Cricetulus griseus: one gene and its partner. The protein of the gene in region 2 interacts with the protein of the main gene of each other region in a pairwise test. Links are inferred from orthologs where the notes say so. Each region holds a gene or a part of one and is shown on either strand. Other genes may lie near its edges.

Region 1 (9,608 bases), on a different chromosome or scaffold from region 2:
ATTTTCAAATGATGAGATTTGAAAATCTGGCTATGTTTAGATTAAACAGAGCGGTCTCGTTTAAGCTGGGAGAATCAAAGGGCTTTCATTGCTAATCCTCGGTTCGGGAAGAAAAGAGCTAGTGGAGGAGGAGGAAGGAGATGTCTACCAGCCACTTCCAAAGGAAGCAGAGACAGGCACCTGCCACGGGCACCCCTAGCAGCTGGTGGTCAGGGCTATGGATGGGCCAAGAGGCAAAGTCAGGCAGGAAAGAGCAACACAAAGAAGAGAGTTGGTGGTCTGTAGAAGGGACAGCAGGCGAGGTTCAGCCGAGGTGTATGTGTGTGTCCACCAGTCCAGCTCCCTCCAGGGGTGTGCCATGGGGCCTGGGCATCAGTCACACCCAAGAAGAAGGCCTGATCTGACCCTGAAGCTTGGCCTTGTCAGGCTTTAGGCCCTCTCAGCCACCTCAGGCCTGGCTGAGCTCCCCACCAGCCTCGCTTCACCCTGGTGGAGAGAGCTTCCTCCACAGCCCTTGTTTGAAGCTCCAACTCAGCCAGCCCCACCCTAGCATGAAATCTGAGACAGGGGATGGAGCCCTGAGCCTCTTGCCATTCCCAAAAATCACTCCCACTTTCAACATCAGCATGGCTTCGGCCTCATTCTTGGGGGCTAGGCTCCTGTCCCACACCCTCCAGAAAGCCTCCACTTGGCAAACCATCCCAGATCCCTGTCATCACTTTGCTCTGCCCCCCCCATCACCAGGAATGAAGAGATAACGAGGGACCCTACTCCTTCCTGGCTTATGCTGTGTAACTTTAGTGGGCTCTTGGGTCCTTGCTTAGATGGCGATCTCCTTAAGGACAGAGATCTGCCTGGCACCTCTCTGCACCTCCCACATCAAACCCAGGCCAGAGACATATCAGGGAATGTGCATTACTGAATGGATAAAGACACAGAAGAGGGCCAGGGAGATGTTAGCTCTTCCTAAAATCCAACTCTATACTCTCTCAAAAGAAATGAGTCAAGAGCCAGGGACACAGAGCACAATGGGTAAATGTTTATTTAGTGTTTATTGTATGCTAATAATAAATGATTTATAAGTGCTCTCAGATGTAGACCTTACTCCAGCTCTATGGAGGGATGTATCGTCATTCCTGCTTTACTAATAAGAAAACGGAAGTTCGGAGACTATGCTTAGCTTTCCTGGTGGCTAATGAGTCCTTCAGAGTCCATGCCCTGCTCAATCTTCTTCCTGCCAATCCACTACATACAATGAGATGGAGACAGCTAATGTTCTGGTTTGCTCACAGCCCATCAGGCATGGAGAAGGAAGGAGTGCGGGGTTTGGCTTGTCCTGCCCACACTAAAATGGTCCCTATCCACCCAAGGGCAGATGAAGCAAGGAGAGTAGATGGATCAAACTCCCTGTGGTTAGAACTATAGCTGCCTGTCCCAAGACTCCATGCCCACTTCCTTTCCTTGTGTCCCTGTCCCTGGCTCTAGCTCTTCACAGACAGACTGAAGTCAGAAGCAGGAAGTTGAGGAAAAGTTGTGACATCTTGTTCCTGGTGTATTCCAGGTAGCCTGCTCAGGGACATCACTTACGCCAACAGCCTGAGTGCCTGGTCATCTGGTCACTCCAGGGAGATCACAGCAGGAGGGTCCTCATGGACAAAGATCGTGATCACACACACACACACACACAGAGAGAGAGAGAGAGAGAGAGAGAGAGAGAGAGAGAGAGAGAGAGGAAGCCCTGACCTTGACTAATTAACCTCAGGTGTCTGTGGGGTGAGAGACCTGAGGTAGACTATCCAAGTTCTCTTTGTGTGGCTCATTTGCTATCCCAATTTGGCTCTGGCAGAGCTCTCCTAGCACTCAGGGGCACAGGTAAGTTCTCTCCCAGCCCGATTTCTCTGACTCTGACAGCTGTCTTTTGGGTGCCAGGAGAGCTGCTGCATCTGGTTGGAGTCACAGGATTGTCCACGAAGGAGTATCTCATGGAACCCCCTGAAAAAAACTTTCTCCTTCCACTGGGCTGAGTATCCGGGAAATCTATTCCTTTGGAGCTGCAGGCCTTCTGGGCATCAAACCAGACAGATGTGTAGCACTATGGCAAACAGACAAGCGGGCAAACACCAATAACCCATAAAGCAGAGGGTTAGGAGAGAAGGGAAAAGTACACACACACACTCACACACACGCTCACTCACACACGGAGTTTGGCCAGTAAAGTTTCCCTGTGGAGAAAAAGCCTCCTTGCCAGCGGGATTCGCTAAGACCCAGGGAGATTTCCCCAGGAATCCTCTTCGAAGGCAAGCGGCAAGCGGCAGCCGCAGCAGTTTCCACAAACAGCAGCAAAACTTCAGTCCTAAAAGTCCCCCAAACTTCCCCCTCCCTTTCTCCCTCGGTCTTTTGTTCCCCCACTGCATTGCCAACCAAGCAGCTCCCAGCTTCCCACACTGGACTGTCCTCCCCCAACCCCAACCCCAACCCCTGCCCGGCTCGCAACCTCGATCCCGGCCTGCTCACGCCCGGCTCCCGTGCGCCCCTGGAAGCCGGGGGTCGCTCACCCGCCTTGCAGGGGTCTTTGTAGTTGAGGAGCTCCGGGGCGTCCTCCTCGCCCAGGTCGTAGGTGTAGTCGGCCAAGTCCAGCGGCCGCCCGGCGCGCGGGAGCAGCAGCAGCAGCAGTAGCAGCGGCAGCGACAGCAGCGGCAGCGGCGGGCGGGCCACGCCGGGCATGCTGGCGGGCAGCGGTGGCGGTCGCGCCCGGACGCGGGAGCGGGGCGACGGGGAAGGGAGCGCTGGAGGCGAAGGGGAGGTGCTCTCCCCCCGCGGCCACCTCTTCCCGTCCCGTTTCCTGTCTCCCGCCCCCCGCTCGGCCCGGCTCGCTCCGGCCCTGGGCTCCGGCGTCCCCTCGCCCTCGGCTCGGTCTCTCCCTTTCTTTTTTTTTTCCGCCGTCCTCCCACTCCCCCCCCCCCCTTTTAGGGAAATGAGCTCGCTGGAGGGCGGGTTTTCGCCCAGCTCGGCCCCCCTCGGGGCCGGGACCGTGCTCGGCCGGGCCGGGAAGCGCGCCAGCCGGGCGGGGAGGGCGAGAGTAGCGCCGCCCGCCCCGGAGGGGGATCGGCTGCCTGGGGCCGGGGCCGGGGAGGGGGCGCGGGCCCGGGATGCCCGGAGGCACCGCTCCCGCGAGGGGCCCCCTAGTGGCCGCTGTCCCGCACGGGGCGGAGTACCTCCCCGCACGGGACACGCTGTCAGGTCCGTTCCTGCCTCTCAATCCCTGGATCAGCGGTCTTTCTCTCAGCCTGAGACACCAGTCTGTCTGAGACCTGCTCTCTTGCTTCTCGCTGTCTCTGTCTCACTGTCTCTCTGCCTGTCTCTGTCGCTGTCCTTCCCTGTGGACACACCGCTGGAGGGCGCCTAACACCCGTGTATGGCACCTAGGTCCCGTCCCCTATCCCCGCCTTTTGCCCCCTTCCCCACTACCTGGGGTAGAACCAAATCCCCATCACTCTTAGACAGAAAGGATGTGGCAAAGCGTCCCAACTCCCCCAAACCCTCTCCTTCCAAGGACGGCTCCCGCCAGGAGCGAAACTGAAAATGTGGAAGAAAAGACATGCCACCCTTTGTTTTTCAATCAGGCTGCTTTATTGCTTTGTGGTAGGAGACCCCCTGGCCTGTAGGAGACCCCTCTCCTCTACTGGCTTCTACTCTGTCGGGTCGAGCAAGAACAGGAGCAGCTTCCTGCTTGTCTGCAAGAGACCCTTCTCTGCGTGCGGGTCTTTCCTGTCCCCATGCGGTTACCACCGACCCTGTGAAGCAAAGAACTGATGTTTATCACGTGAAGGGCGGGGGGGGGGGGAACCTAGGGAGCCACTCGCTTGATTCCAATGTGGGCTGTCTGTGAGCCTGCCATCCTCTGCCGTCCCCAGACCACTGACTTCAGGAGAACCCTAGTAGGTTTGCTGACAAAGCCCGAAGCCCAAGCCTTCCCAACGTTGTGCAGGCACCATCAAAGGTACCCTTGCTCACCTGAGGGGGTCCTAGATATAGTACAGTGGTAGCTCTCCACACAAGGTGCTCACAGCAAGGCCTAGGAATGCCAGGTCTCTCCCGGAAGACTCAGAACCAATGCCATGCCCTTCCTCCTGACCCAGCTTAGGGGTGGACGCCGAGGGCTTGGCCTGGAAAGAACACATATGTTCAATCTCACCTGCAGTCCTTATTGTGGGACACTAGGCTAGCCAGGCAAATTCTCGAGGCTCAGTTTCCTCACCGATACAGAGGGACTAGGCTGAAATCAGAAGCACACAGGTGGTGTCTGAGCTCAGCCAAGCCAACAACTTAGCAGCAGGCCAGCTGACAGCTGGGATAGGTGTAACACAGGTGAGTGCAGAGAGAACACATCTGGCCCAGGAGAATCAATACCATGCAGATGGCACTAGCCATCATTTCAAATATTCCTCTCCCCAACCCTTGGAGGGAGACAGCTCACTCCCTTTACTCACACACCCACCTTGAAGTTCTGGAATTTTCTAGTAAAAGCCTCAAGACTGGGGATGCTCCCTGGATCCATCTTCATGATGTAGCAGTAGGTACCCGGGGCTGGCTTATAGGCAGTCAGGAGCTAGGCATGTAACACGGGAGGTCATTCAGGAAGGTCCCTTGCCTTGCTCACTCCCCAACCCTGATTCTCAGCCAACTCCCTTTAGATTGGCCATGGGAGACACATCTGAGTCCGAGACTCCAGCATCCGAGGGGAAGCAGCCAGGCACAGAATGGAGAGAGACCTCTGGAAAGAGGTGGTACAACTAGACAGTTCCAGTAAAGTCATATTGGTCCCTCAGGCATACTCACTCGCTGGTAGTCATACACAACAATGCCAGTGGAACCAACGGAGAAGGTAGCAATGGTGTCCATGTGCTCACTCAGGGCTAGGCGTTTCTGAGTTTCCGGTGCTCCGATGCTCATTTCAAGGACCTAGGGAGAGGCTGTCAGAGTGCTGCCTGGCATTCCTCTTTCTTTTCTCAGCCCTTTGGTACCCATATCTACCCAGAGCCCTCTGTTGGAACGCAATTCCCTCTTTCCTGAGATCTCAGGAAGGCTAAAGATCACTGGTGTTGGAGGGACTGGTGGTTATCACACTGTAGGCCAGGGCCTGGGGAAAAACCATCTATGCTGGTCTGCTACCCCATCTCTGCTTGTATCACTCAAGATACGCTCTTGTTTGCCCACCCCAGCAAACTTCCTCTGTCTGACATTCATCGCTGCTACTCTTTGCTCAACCCAGGCCTGCTCACCATCTCAGTATGTTTTTGACTCATGTGAAGGCCCATGAGCAGGGCCCCTACAATCACCACGACAACAAGGACCACCACCACAACCACGATGAGAAGGCGTTTGAGATGCACGGGGCAGCAGGGGATGCGGAACTGGCTCCTGGGACCTGCTGAGTAGTCCTGAAGAAGCGGGGGGGGGGGGGGGGGGAGCAGAGAGACAAGCAGGCAGTTGAGAGGATGCCCATTCCTCTCCCTGAACCAACCAGATGCACGCTCATACCCCGTTAGGCTATGAATATGCAGAGGAGCGCTGGGGAGACCAGAGGCTTTTGGGAAGGTGGTCGGATTCAAACAAACCCACAGAAACTTAGGAAGTTAGAGGCAAAATCTAGGTTTGGAAGGATCCAAGAGAGCCAGTTAGTAATCGTATGTTCTGTTTTCCCAAGACTCTTGGCACCTCAGACATAGCCAGCATTTTTGTGCCCTTCCCCCTCCCCAAGGATCCAGGTAGCACCATCTCCATATCTTTATGTAGAGTCCCTTTCTTCCTTGTATGCCTTCCTCCTTTGCCTTGTGGGTGCCTGCATATTCTTCCTAGGCAATTTCATGTGTCATCTTCACGCCTATCTGAGGAGCCATCCTTCTCCTTTTTTTTTTTTTTTTTTTTTTTTTTTTTTTTTTTTTTTTTGAGACCCAGGCTGCCTTCCACCTCCTTACATATCTAAAGATAACCCTGAATGATTGTCTTGCTTACACTTCCAAATGGTGTGGACCCCATGCCTGACTTATGGGGTCCTGGGGACTGAACCCAAGGGCCTTTGATTGCAGTGCACTCTTCCCACTGAACTCCATCCCAGCCTCACATGCCATTTTCTCTGTGACCTCCTAATTACTTGGTGACTCTAGCAGTGTTTTTCACAGGCCTTTCTATTGACCCCTACGGTGGTTCTCAACCCCTTTATACAGAAATTCATGGCTGCCATGCCTGCCTCTTCCAGGGACTCTTAATGATCATGGTGTCTCCATCCTAACAGCCTAATCCTAAACTAATTGAAGAAAAAAATCCTATGGAGAATGGAGCAGGCAAGTCCAGTACACTTATGTAAATACACACACACACACACACACACACACACACACACACACACACACACACACAAAACCACACTCACCGGTGGACTCTCCATCAAGACCTCTTTGCTACCCACATCCATTTTGTAGGCTTTCTTCTCTTCTCATCTCTCTAGTGTGGCCAGTGTCCTATATATATCATCAGAGAGAGAGGGGACAGAGGTGAAGGACCAGGTCTTCTGTCTGCCAGCCAAGTCCTTGGCTTTGAAGCTTGTTTATTCCAGGTTTTTCACAGCCTAGGCCCTGATAAGCCAGCTGCAAGAGCCCCCAAGGGCTCTTGGCCTAGGCACATGAATCCTCTTGGCCCCAACAAGAGCAAACCTGGGTGAGGTGAGCAAACTCACCCTCAGGCCACCTGCTCCTCTCACCGTGGGTGTCTTTCTGGCATGTCTGCCTCTCTTGCTGGCACCTGCCCCTGCAGCCCTGTGGCTTCTCTTCGTTTGACAGGCCAAACCTTTCCTGTGGTAGCCAAGAATCTGGCCATCCCTTTCTACCAGATAACCTCCCCCAGGCTCAGACATGAGTTCCATCAGGGACTAAGAAAGTGGTGATTATTGATGGGGGTGGAGAGGTGTCTACTGGAGGAACAGGGCTTGGAACAAAACTGGGGATCCATTAGTGTGGTTTCTGAGACAGGGTCGGTTCCTCTTTATCCTGCTTCCCACACCTGCTGTCTCTAACCTCGGATTTGCTCCAGTCATTTTTCTTACTCTGGAAACCCTTTCCTCACAGCTGCAAACCTCTTACTGGGGGATAAGTCCTGTTTCACTCCTTGCCCCGGGCCTGTCTGTAAGTTGAATGCTCTGACGACTATTCCAGGCCTTAGTTTTTGCCTTCCAGTGCTGAGGATCAAACTTAAGGTCATGAGCATGCTTGGGAAGCCGTTTTCCACTGAGCTACATCCCCAGACATTTTCTCAAGCCAAGATGACCTTGCACAGGGCTGAGTGTGGTCCCAATCAGCCACCTCTGCCCTTCGACCATTCTATCTACCCTTCTGACCTCCTGTTTATATCGTCTAAATTTGCCCAATGTGATTTAACCAAATCCCATTCACTTTCATGACTTCCTCCTTCTCCTCTCTCCCTCCCTTCTCTCTTTCCCCAAATTCTCTCCTGTTGCTTGGGGTACTAAGTCAGTCACATCTACCAGTGACTTCGGATTGGTTGCACCCTTTCAACTTGGCCTTGGCTACATGCCTTCAATTCCCTTTTAAAGATTTATTTATTTTTATTTTATGGGTATGGGTGTTTTGCCTGTGCACCACCTGCATGCCTGGTACTCTTGGAGGCCAGAAAAGGACATGGGACCCACAGGGGCTGGAGTCACAGAGAGTTGTGAGCTTCCATGTGGGTACTAGGTATCAAACTTGGATGCTGTGAAAGAGTAGCCAATGCTTGTAACCACTGAACCTTCTCTCTAGCCCATCCGGTTCCCTTTCAGTTGCTGGCCAGGTGGACTTGAAACATCTTTGCACCTCTCAACTTTTATGAATGTGTAAGCTGGAGCCTAGTACTTCCTTGTATTGACCTGGCACCCTTGTTCTCCTACAAAGCTGCCCCTTAATATCTCCAGATTGTTTTTAGGACTCCTCATGGACACGCCAAATCCACAGGCATGCAAGTCCCTTATACAAATTAGACTATAGAAGTTACATACAACAACCAGGCAGTGGAGGCGCACACTTTAATCCCAGCATTTGGGAGGCAGAAGGATCTCTGTGAGTTTGAGTCAACCTGGTCTACAAAGCTACACAAAGAAATCCTGTCTCAAAAAAGCAGAAAAAAAAAAAAAACAAGAAGAAGAAGAAGAAGAAGAAGAAGAAGAAGAAGAAGAAGAAGAAGAAGAAGTTACATACATATGCATATTCTCACATACTCTTTAAAAACTGCCTTTGAGTAGCCAACAGCTCTCTACTTGCAGACCCCATCAGCAAGACAGAATCCATGCCTAGTACTGGAAACCTAGCTAACTACTCAGTGCTAGTGAAGTCATAATTATTGGAGGAGAATCTACAACCGCTAACTTACCAAACCAGCATAATCCCAATAACACTCTATAAACATTGTCCTTACACCGAAGATAAGTGTAGTCCTCACCCCTCATCAAGGAAACTTCTCTTTACAACAGATAGAGACTGCTACAGAAAACCACAACCAATCAGAATGCAGAGTCGTGGAGCCTGATCCCCACGGATACATCTACAAAAACACGTCACACATAATGCTCAAGGACATTGCAGAAGAAGAGACAGAAGGCTTGTAAGGACCAGAGAATCACGATCAGGGAATTTGCTGTGAGACTTTGTTTCCTAGAAACATCAGATGCTACACACATAGTCTCACCAGCATCACCACCCAAACGTGAATTGAACAAGGATTACACCAACAAATGTACCAAACTAGATGGGAAAAGCCCACAAGACCTCTGTCCTACGCAAAGAACTACAGGCAACTGAGGAAAGCTGGGGCAGGGGGGGTTCATAGAGATGGCCTTCCCCAGGGAAGAGCACACCAGTTTGTTTTCCAGTGCCAAATGGTCAGCCTTGGAAACATCCATATACAGTATCAAAACTAAAAATATGGAAAATGTTTAAATCTTTCCAAAGAAATTGTTTTTTAGGGGCTTGAGAGATAGCTCAGTGGACAAGAACACTGGATGTTCTCCCTGAGGACCTGGGTTCAATTCCCAGCACCCACATGACAGCTCATAACTGTCTGTAACTCCCATTCCAGAGGATCTGACACCCTAACACAGACATGCAGGCAAAACACCAAGGCACATAAAATAATAATAATAATAATGATAAAGATTAAATCTTTTAAAAAAGAAATTGTCTTTGAGATTTATGTTTTGCTTGCATACTTATCTGTTCACCATGTACATGCAGTGCCTTGGAAGCCATAAGAATGAGTCAGATTCCCTGGTCATGGAGTCACAGACAGTTGTAAACTGCCTGACTTGGGTGTGGGGAACTGAACTCTGACCCTCTGCAAGAGCCATCTCTCCAGTCCCTTGTTATTTTGAGACAGCCTTATTTTCTACCCAAGTGGGCCTGGAACTGGTGGCCATCCTCTTGGCTTAGCTTCCTGAGTGCAAGATTTCAGGTATGTGCCACCATGCTCAGTCCCATCTACTGTTGAATTAGTGAAGGCCAAACCTAGAGATGTAGACAGCCAGCTGTACTGGACTTTGAAATATCATTCCTTCCTAGCCT
Region 2 (9,682 bases):
CAACAGGGCAGATGTACATATGAAGCTCAAAGAGACTGTGACAGCATACACAAGAACTGCATAAACTCAAGACAGACAAAATCTAGCCAAGCTAATAGCAATTGATAGTTGCTGGTAGAAGGAAAATCAGTTTAGTTTTCTTCCGGGGGAGGGGGTGGGGGGCAGGGGGCACTAAGCAGAGTACCAACCACACTCCAGCCAATCCCCTTGGGGTTTTGTTGATGTTATTTTGGTTTTAGTGCTTTTTTGTTTTTTGAGAGAGAAAGAAGTCAGTGTAGTGGTACATGCCATTAATCCCAGCACTCAGGAGGCAGATCTCTGAATTTGAAGCCACCCTGGACTATAGATGGAGTTCCAGGTCAGTCGGGGTTCCACAGAGAAACATTATCTCAAAGAGAAAGACAGAGAGAGAAGAGACAGAGAACATGAAGATGGGTGGGTAATAAAATGGGGGAAGACCTAGGAAAAGTAGGGGGGCAGGGAAAGAATATAGTCAAATAAATTCTCACAGAATAAATTAAAAAATAAAATAAATTTGAGAATTAAAAAGGAAAGCATTAATAGTAATTATTGGTGATTGATTTAGAGACATTGTCTTGCTATGTAGCCCTGGCTGGCCTAGAACTCACTATGTAGCCCAGGCTGGCCTCGAACTCAGAATAAGCCTCCTGACTCAGACTCCAGAGGTGTATACCACTATGTTCAGTAGTAAATTTAAATTAACCTTACCCCAAGGAAAATAATCATAAATCCAGATAAAAATTTAGAGGTATACCCTTACAATCAAATTAAAATAATCTAAAAATCCAACATACGATGACAATTAAGTAAATAAATTATTGCCAGGCGTTGGTGATGCATGCCTTTAATCCCAGCACTCGGGAGGCAGAGGCAGAGGCAGGCGGATCTCTGTGAGTGCAAGACCAGCCTGGTCTACAAGAGCTAGTTCCAGGAAAGCCTCCAAAACCACAGAGAAATCCTGTCTCGAAAAACCAAAATAAATAAAAAAATAAATAAATAAATAAATAAATAAATTATAGTTTGTCCATATGACATAATAAAATGCAGCAACTCAAAGCTTTCTAAAAAGAAAAGGTTTAATAATGTGATAAAATCCTGATGTGATAAGTTAAAAATATTTGAAGCAGGATAAAACCTATTTTACCAGATAAAGTGACACATAACTATAATCTTATCACTTAGGAGGGCAGAAAAAGGGGGATCATGAGTTGAAGGCCAGACAAGGCTATATCCCAAAGCCCTGTCTTAAAATTTTTTAGACAAACATGTATTCAGAGATTTCTTAAAAAAAAAAAAAAAGGAAACGAAAGAAAGAAAAAGAAATATATTTTTAGTAAACAGAAGCATAACACTGCTGTCAAAGTCCTAAAAGGCTGTCAGACTGTCAGAGGGTTGTTTCTACTTATCAGTAATAAAAAAAATTTTTCTATGGAGAAAAAGTTAACTCTCACTCCCCTTACCCAGAGTAAACTAATGATTTATCATCCAAACAAATTAACGAGGAAAAGAACACCAAGAAGAACAAGAACAGCAAGAATAAGGAGTAAGAAACAAGAAAGAAAAAACAACTAGGATAAATATCCAACGGACAATGAAGTTTTAATCACCTTAGGATAAACAGTCTCTTTCAACTGATCATACCACACTTTTTAAAAGTTTTACTTGGGATTCTTAAGGGAGTATATTTAAAAAGTAAACAGAAAAAAAAAAAAAAACAGGAATGTGCCTCTATGAAAGCAGAGCTAGGCAGTGTGGTCTGAGAAAATCTAGGAAGAGAACAGAACCAAAGAAAGAAGAGGGAAGCTTTGGAAAGGACAACAGATTTTTCCTACCAGGACCAAATGCATTTTTCAGACATGGTTCCTCTTTCCTTCACTTAAAAAAGAAAACATTAGAGTTGTCTTTAGATAACAGAAACCTCACAGAAAGTCCAAGGAGTGCTCGGCATTTCCTCCCAGCAGCAATTATAGAGAGAAGAGTCCAAATTAGAATCTAGGCAGAGCTGCAAACACTAAGGAAAGTCCCCAAACATCAATTAAGGGGACACTTACCAACCTCTCAAGTTGACCCCTCTCCTTCAGAAGGCTGTCAGGCAATGATCTTGGGCTCAAAGTGTCAAGGGATATTTCTAAAAAGGTAGTGAAATTTAAATAGAAAAGTTTTCTACAGATGTTTTATGCTGGGGTCACTCATCTTTTATTTGAGTTAATCACATTCCAAGCTTTAGCACTCAAGTACCACTTTCAGGATGCTTATCTGGATCTCTCCTGTACTATTTCTTATTTACCAAATACCAGTCTCTCAACTGGCTATCCTATATTTTTAACAACAATGTCTACAAAATCAGTTTGAGACATTAGGGTTTTTTTTCCCTAAATCTAAGTTAAAATAAGTAAAATTTTGTTTTGTTTACATGCATATTAAATATTTTGGTGGCTTGCTTTTTTAAAATGATCCTCAGCTCACCAAATCATTTTACATTAATGATAGCACCAAAATTTGGAAAAACTAACTTGCTACATATTTAGTTAACTTAATAATCCTGAACTCTGTGAGAATTATAAGTGAGTGCAAAGGGTGGAGTCAGACTGATTGAACTTAGTTGACCATATTAATTGCAATGCTCAGACTGGAAGATTGAATGAAAAGAAAGGAGTACCAAGGACTATCAGAATTTATTGTGATGTTTTGCCAGTACTGTCTTCCTCATTAGCTGTCCTTACTGCTTGCTTCTATTGTGGGCACCTGCACTAAACACTATGTGTAAAACCTCAAGCTCCACAACAGAATATACACACTATTAGAGACAGGGGTCCTAACATATGTGCAGATGTCAGTGCCATACAGTTCAGAGAGGTAAGTATAACTTCCATTTCATAGATAAGAAAACTGACATTTGCTCAACTTCACCTCTAATATACGGCAGGACTGATACTTAAGCCTAAGTGCCTCACAAATCTCCATCGCTGTGCTGTAACCAGGAAAGCAGCAAGCAGCAAAAAAAAAAAAAAAAAAAAAAAAAAAAAAAAAAAAAAAAAGAAAGAAAGAAAAAAAAAGTCCTATGTTTTAAATGTTTTTCAATTTAGACAAAGCTTCACAAAGCCCCAGCCTGGTTTGAACTCACTATGTAGCCAAAGGCTTGCCTTGAACTCCTGATCCTCCTGTCTCCACCTCCCAAGTGCTAGGATTACAGGCTTGCATCATAAGACCTGGATCAGCTGATCATTTTAAAATAACAATAAATAGGGACATTTTCTTTGAAAGGCAACACAGTATGGTGATTAAAAAGTCAAGTTCAGGCTGGGGAGATTCCTCAGTGGCAAAACATGATTACTATGCAATCATGAGGACTAGTGTCCAGATCCTTAGAACTAAGTGAAGACTAGGCAAGCTAGGTTATCCAAAAGAGGTGGGATCTTCCAGGCAGGTCAGCTAGCTGGACTGACTGAAATTGGCAAGCTCCAGGTTAAAACAACAACAACAACAACAACAAAACAAACAAACAAAAAACATCCTGCCTCAATTAAGTAGAGGGCAATCAGAGAAGACACTGGACATCAACACCCAACCTTCATATACACCTGCACACAACATTGTGCCAACACACATTTGAATATACATACAGGCATACACATGCACACACAGGATGTGCAAAATAAATAAATTAAATACAAAGAAGTCATATTCCCAGATTTAAAGCCAGGCTCTACCACATACCTGTCACATTACCTTGACAAGCTTTGCTTTCCAAACCTCAATATCTTCACCTCGGAACTATGGCTATGAGTAAACCCTATCTCCATGAGGCTCTTTTTAAGATCACTACCAGCCTCTACGTCTTACGCTTATGAAAAGCACCTGGCACAACCTCCGAAGTTCTATTTTAAGTGTTCTGCTGTCCTTACTACTGACAGGTACAGACCAAGCACTTCATTCGCCTCATTTGAGCCTTCCAGGAACCTCTGAGGTTAGGTATTAGTTTCATTTTGCTTTGGAGGAAACACAAGTCCCAAAAGCTTAAGGCATTTGTTCAACTCACGGATGAGTAAGTAGGAGGTCTGATTCTAACAACTTCATGAAACATTACCTCTAAACACACCCTAACTTCTTATCGACACGGAAAGAAAGGTCACAAGTATCTCTCTGACACGAGTTTGTTTTTTTTTTTTCATACATCAACCTAAAACATACTTAAACTTTAAGCAGTCTCTAAAAATAAAGTTACTAAACTGGCATGATCGTCTTAAGTGGGAAAAGCCTGACGTCTCAATCACTTTGGACATGGTCACGGGTGTCAGGTTCAGTTCTGAATCTTCCTCTACACACGGTAAGTTCTAAGTAATGTTTAAGATACCGCCTAACTGCTCACAGCGCTGGCACACCAGTGGGTACCAGTAACCCGAAATTGATTCCATTTTTTAAAATGTTTGCTCTGTTCATCCGCTGGAATTCTATCACGTGTAGCACGGCCCACCGACACTGGACTCTGCTCAAAATTAAGCACAGCAGGGGCTGGTTCTGAAGAGTTCTACCTGCTCCAGGTGATGCTGATCCCGGAAGCTAAGCAGCAGGCAATCAAGTCCTAAGCTGCTTTTACTGAGAGAGATTCGCGCAAGCTACAGCTTGGCCCCCTCCGGAGATCCCCCACTTGTGGAGCCAATAACTCAGGTCTTTTTTTTTCTGCCACACAGTGTCGCAAAGTACCATCAGACAGGGCCTCGAGGGGTTTCCCTGAGCCAACGTGGGCGATCTCCAACCTCAGCGCCCATTCGGACTCCACAAATCGCAGGGTACGCCACTGGTACAAGCTGCCCCGCCCCAAAAAAGAACTAGGAATGCCAGCCACCTCAAGCTCTCTCGGGCCACCTACAAGCCCGGGTGAATCCGTGTGCTTCTGACATCTATGGCAGTGAGTCCGCTCGCTGGCAGCCCGGGGCGCCAGCACTCCCCGTCAGCCGCCCCGACTGCGTCCGCCCATCCCGGGACAGGCCTGCCAGACAGCAACCGCCGCCCGCGCGGCTGACAGCCCCGGGTCTCAGGGACCCGGGACCCGCACACCAGCCCTCTAACTCCGCCGCCACCGCCGCTCAGCTCCGGCTCGGGAAGTACCGGTCAGGCCAGGGTGGAACGCCGAGAGCGGCGCGAGCGGCCGGCCAGGGATCCCGGAGACCCCGAGGAGGCTGAAAAGAGGGGCCGGGCCGTACCTGTCGCGCTGGGACTCGCCGCTCCGAGTGACGCGCCACGCAGTGCATTGTGGGGCCGGGAGGGGCCTCCCAGCGGGGTTGCCCGTGTCCAACGTGGCTGGTGAGGGCGGAGTTCACTCGGGCCAATCAGGTTCCGTGGGAAGCACCCAATGGCACGCCCCCTTCCGAGGCCCGCCCTATCTCCGCCCCCTCCAGCGGAGATTGGCAGGTTCTTATGCACCTGCACCAGGAGAATGCCTAGTCTCCTGAGGACAAAATTAGGCTGTCCCTGGGAAATAAGGCTAGTCTCCTTCACCTGCTGCTTCGTGTCTGGAAGCAGTTTCTCTCATGCGCCACTTGGGACAGAGGAAAAGCTCTCTCTGATGAACAGGATAAGGACCTTTCCCCGTCAGCCACTACACAAACTTTCCAAGACAGACAAATGACACATGCTGGCCCCAGTAGCCCCACCCCTACTCCCGCCCAGCCTTCTAGAGGTCATGTATTATTAAACAAACGTATACTGAATGCCTATCAAGTGTCAAGCAGCATGTTAAGCATGTTATACAGGAATGTTCACAGCACTCCTTTTAAGGTGTAATCGGAGCAAGAGGCACTAGAAAAACTGGTACAGAAATATACTATGTGATTGGTACAGAGAAGAAAACTTAATAGGTGTACTGATGAATTAATTGAGTGTCAGGAAAGAACTCCCTGAATAAGTGCCTTTAAAGTCAAGACATATTAAGGGATCTTTAAGAATGTTCTGGGTCTGCTTCTATTTCCACCAACTGCTGGATGAAGGCTATATGCTGGCATATGAATTAGTCATCAATCTCATTATCAGGAGAGGGCATTTAAGGTAGCCTCCCCTCTGTTGCTTAGATTGTTAGCTGGTGTCATCTTTGTAGCCCTCCAGACATTTCCCTAGTGCCTGATTTCTCTTTGAATTTATAATATCTCCTTCTATTATATTATCTCTTATCTTGTTCTCTTCTGTTCTTCCCACAGCTAAACCTTGGACTGAACTGATCCAGAAGCAGAGAAGAAGGACTGATGAGCAAAGGGGTCCATACCAGGCTGGTGAAACCCACAGAAACAACTGGCCTGAACAAGGGAAAACTCTTGGTCCCCAGACTGATAGCTGGGAAACCAGCATGGGACTGATCCAGACCCCCTGAACGTGGGTGTCAGTGAGGAGACCTTGGGACCTCTTGTAGTGGATCAGTACTTATGGCTACCATAGGAATGAACTTTAGGAGCCCATCCCACATGGGGGGATACTCCCTGATCCTAGACACAAGGGGGTTGGCCTAGGCCCTATCCCAAAGAATATGACAGACTTTGAAGACCCCTATGGAAGGCCTCACCCTCCCTGGTGAGCAGAAAGGCTATGGGATAGGTAGGGCATTAGTGGGGGGGGGAGGGGAGGAGGGGAGAGAGAGGGAACTGGGATTGACATGTAAAATAATTTTTTTCTAATAAAAAAAGGAAAAAAGAAAAATAATATAAAAAAAAAGAATGTTCTGGGTCCAGGAACATGATTTGTGAAAATTTGGATTGTCCTAGGAAGGTGGGCTGGTTTGTCTGTCAGCTTGATACAAAGCTTAACATTGATGGGAGAGGGAATCTTAATTTAGAAAATGCCTCTGAAAAAAAAAAAAAAAGCCTGGGGGCAAGTCTGTGGGATGGTACTGTGATTGGTGATTGCTATAGGAGGGCCCAGCCCACTGAGGGCAGTGCTACACCAGAGCCAGTAGTTCTAGGTTGTAGGAGAAAACAGGCTGAGCAAGCCTTAGAGAGCAAGCCCATAGGCAGCACTCCTCCATGGCTTCTACTTCAGTTCCTTCCTCCAGATGCCTGGCTTGAGTTCCTGCCCTTACTTCCTTTCACTCCCAAGTTGTTTTTGGTCACCATGTTTAATCTCAGCTATTAATAATTAATAATTAATAATCTCAGCTATTAATTAATCCTCAGGGATTATGTAGGAACAAGAAGTTTAGGCTGAGATGAGACAAGGGCTAAACTCTCTTGGACTACTTTATACAGTTCATACGGTAATCAGCAACATACTCTAAGATCAATGAGGAGCTAATAAAGACTGTTAAGTGGGATCTGATTTACATATTTTAAAGCTCACTCTGCTTATGGAGAATAGATTGTTGGAGGGCAAGAAGGATTACTGATGGGTCACTTTGGAGGCAGTTGTATTGGTCAAGACCACAAATGTGTTGCTTGAACTCGAATAATGGCAGTAGAGGTAGAAAGAGATGGATAATTTCAAGATATAAATAAATCGTAGAAGGAATTCATGGGACTTAATGGACAGATTTTCTGGAGCAAGTAAAAAAAAAAGAGGACTACTAAAGATGGCTTCCTAGGTAACTAGATGGATTAAGAAGCCATTTAGATTCACAAAGAGTAGCAAATGTGTGAGGCTATGCTAAATTTGAGAGACCTATAAATGGGAATGTCAAGCAGTTTTGGATAAGTATGCCTAGAGCTCAGAGGGAAGATCTGAACTAATTATACATTTGCCAGTTCTTAGTATGAATTAACATAGAATTCCACTCTGAGATATACTTTCAACAGAAACGTATTCATATATATAAAGCTGTCTTTAGAGTAAATAGGTGATACAGACTATTCACATAGTTTAAGGAAAAAGAGCAAACAATTCACAGATATATACAACTCCCAAGAGTGAACTAACCAGACACAAAAGCACATGTTACATGACTCCACTTGTATAATATTTAAAAATCAAAGGCAGGATGTTGGTTAGCCTTGGGTATTATTAATATTTGAAATAGAAAATTGGTGTTTTTCTTTATCTAGACACTGGTTATTCATTGCAACCTATTAACAACACTTCCTTAAGCTGTATGCTTATGATTTATGTAAATTTTTGTATATAAAGTTTATATCTTTAAAGTGTTAAGAGTAACTCAGACACTCATGTGCCACTATTATCAGACAAAATCTCAAAGCATGATCAAAAGAAAACAAGACCATGTCTGAGAAACAAGTGCCTGCAGGCATTTTCCAATTCCAGCATAGTCACATTGTGTTCATAGAAAGAAGCCAACAGGCTGATCCTCCAGATTTCCCCAGATTGCTTTCTGGGGTTAATTATGGAAGCACAGGCTAGAAGCACAGTTACAGCCTCAAGGTAAGGCGGGATGGAAACTAGATTAAAAGAGCTTTAATTTGAAAGCAGAATGCCAGAGAAAGAGCACCAGAAGTGTACATGAAGGTTCCCTTGGACCTATGTGTGGGCTTAAAGAGCAACTCTGGGACTGGCAAATAGCAGCTACTAGAAAGTTTAAACTGAAACAACTACGAGAGTTTCAAAGGAGTTCGGAAATGTTCAAGTTCTGACTAATTAGGCCAGGAAAAAACTCATTAGAAACCTAGAGCATATGGTAGAGGGACCCTAGATAAGCCACACTTTGGAAATAAGGCTAAATTATACCCAAATAACATTGAAAAACTGCTCTTCAAGTAATTCAAGTACTTGACAACATGAAATTTAAGTCTTAAAAGAAAGAAGAGGACTGGAGGGGTGACTCAGTCGTTAGGAGCACCCTGCTCCTGCAGAGGACCTGAGTTTTGGTTTCCCAGCACCCACATGGTATTTTACTTTTAAGCCATTTAGTTACTGCCAAAAGTCAGAAAACATTGCAAAATAAAAACGAGAGAGAGAGAGAGAGAGAGAGAGAGAGAGAGAGAGAGAGGTGAGGTGCACATGCACAAGAGCACACACACATTTGAGCACACACACTGATGCACATGTGTAACACACACACACACAACACACACACACACACACACACACACACACACACACACACACACACACATACTCACACACAATATACATTCATTCTAATGTAACCTGGGCCTGGTGACACATCCCTTTAATTCTAGCACTTGGCAGGTAGGGGTAGGCAGGTCTTTGTGAGTTTCAGAGCCTAGTCTAAATAGTGAATTCTAGACCAGCTAAAGTCCACACTGAAATCTTGTCTCAAAACAAACAAATACATAAATAACATAAGAAACTACCAAAAACAGTCACATTGCAAATAGAATCCAAAGATAACAAGTAATGCTGACTTCACATCAGAAAGAAAGGAAACCAAACATCATGGAACACAGTCTAAAGTTCTGAAAAACACTGTTAACCTCAAATTTGTTGCCAGATAAAATTGCATCAAAAATGGGTAGGAAATAATGGTATCTTCTGGCAAACAAAAAAATGAGAGAATTTGTTGTTACAATATCTGAAATTCAATGAACGTTAACATTGCCTAGACTAAGCATGGTGGCACACACCTGTAATCACACTGAGAGGTGGAGATAGGAGGATTGGAAGTTCAAGGCCAGCTTCAGCTATATACCCACTAGCTTTTAAAAGGAAGAAAGAAAGCTTTCAAATTAAATAAAATTATTCTAAAAGGAAACTAAAAAAAGAACCC

Evidence for each region. The genes of interacting proteins can lie anywhere in the genome.
Region 1: the proteins of Sec22a (region 2) and Sftpc interact in binary tests that used the Homo sapiens proteins (3 or more experiments, as listed by UniProt). The two-hybrid records come from large-scale screens. The link is inferred for Cricetulus griseus from reciprocal best matches to the Homo sapiens genes SEC22A and SFTPC.

What each region holds. Positions count from the first base shown.
Region 1 is NW_023276807.1:225,161,847-225,171,454, forward strand, and holds Sftpc (pulmonary surfactant-associated protein C), read right to left. Parts: upstream 6,476-9,608; coding exon 6,434-6,475; intron 5,442-6,433; coding exon 5,283-5,441; intron 4,963-5,282; coding exon 4,840-4,962; intron 4,610-4,839; coding exon 4,499-4,609; intron 4,191-4,498; coding exon 4,026-4,190; downstream 1-4,025. Other genes in the region: Bmp1 (bone morphogenetic protein 1), read right to left, coding at 2,556-2,724. UniProt on the Homo sapiens protein: Pulmonary surfactant associated proteins promote alveolar stability by lowering the surface tension at the air-liquid interface in the peripheral air spaces.
Region 2 is NC_048597.1:54,277,509-54,287,190, reverse strand, and holds the start of Sec22a (vesicle-trafficking protein SEC22a), read right to left. Parts: upstream 5,341-9,682; 5' UTR 5,226-5,340; intron 5,003-5,225; exon of another isoform or gene 4,868-5,002; intron 2,150-4,867; exon of another isoform or gene 2,073-2,149; intron 1-2,072. UniProt on the Homo sapiens protein: May be involved in vesicle transport between the ER and the Golgi complex.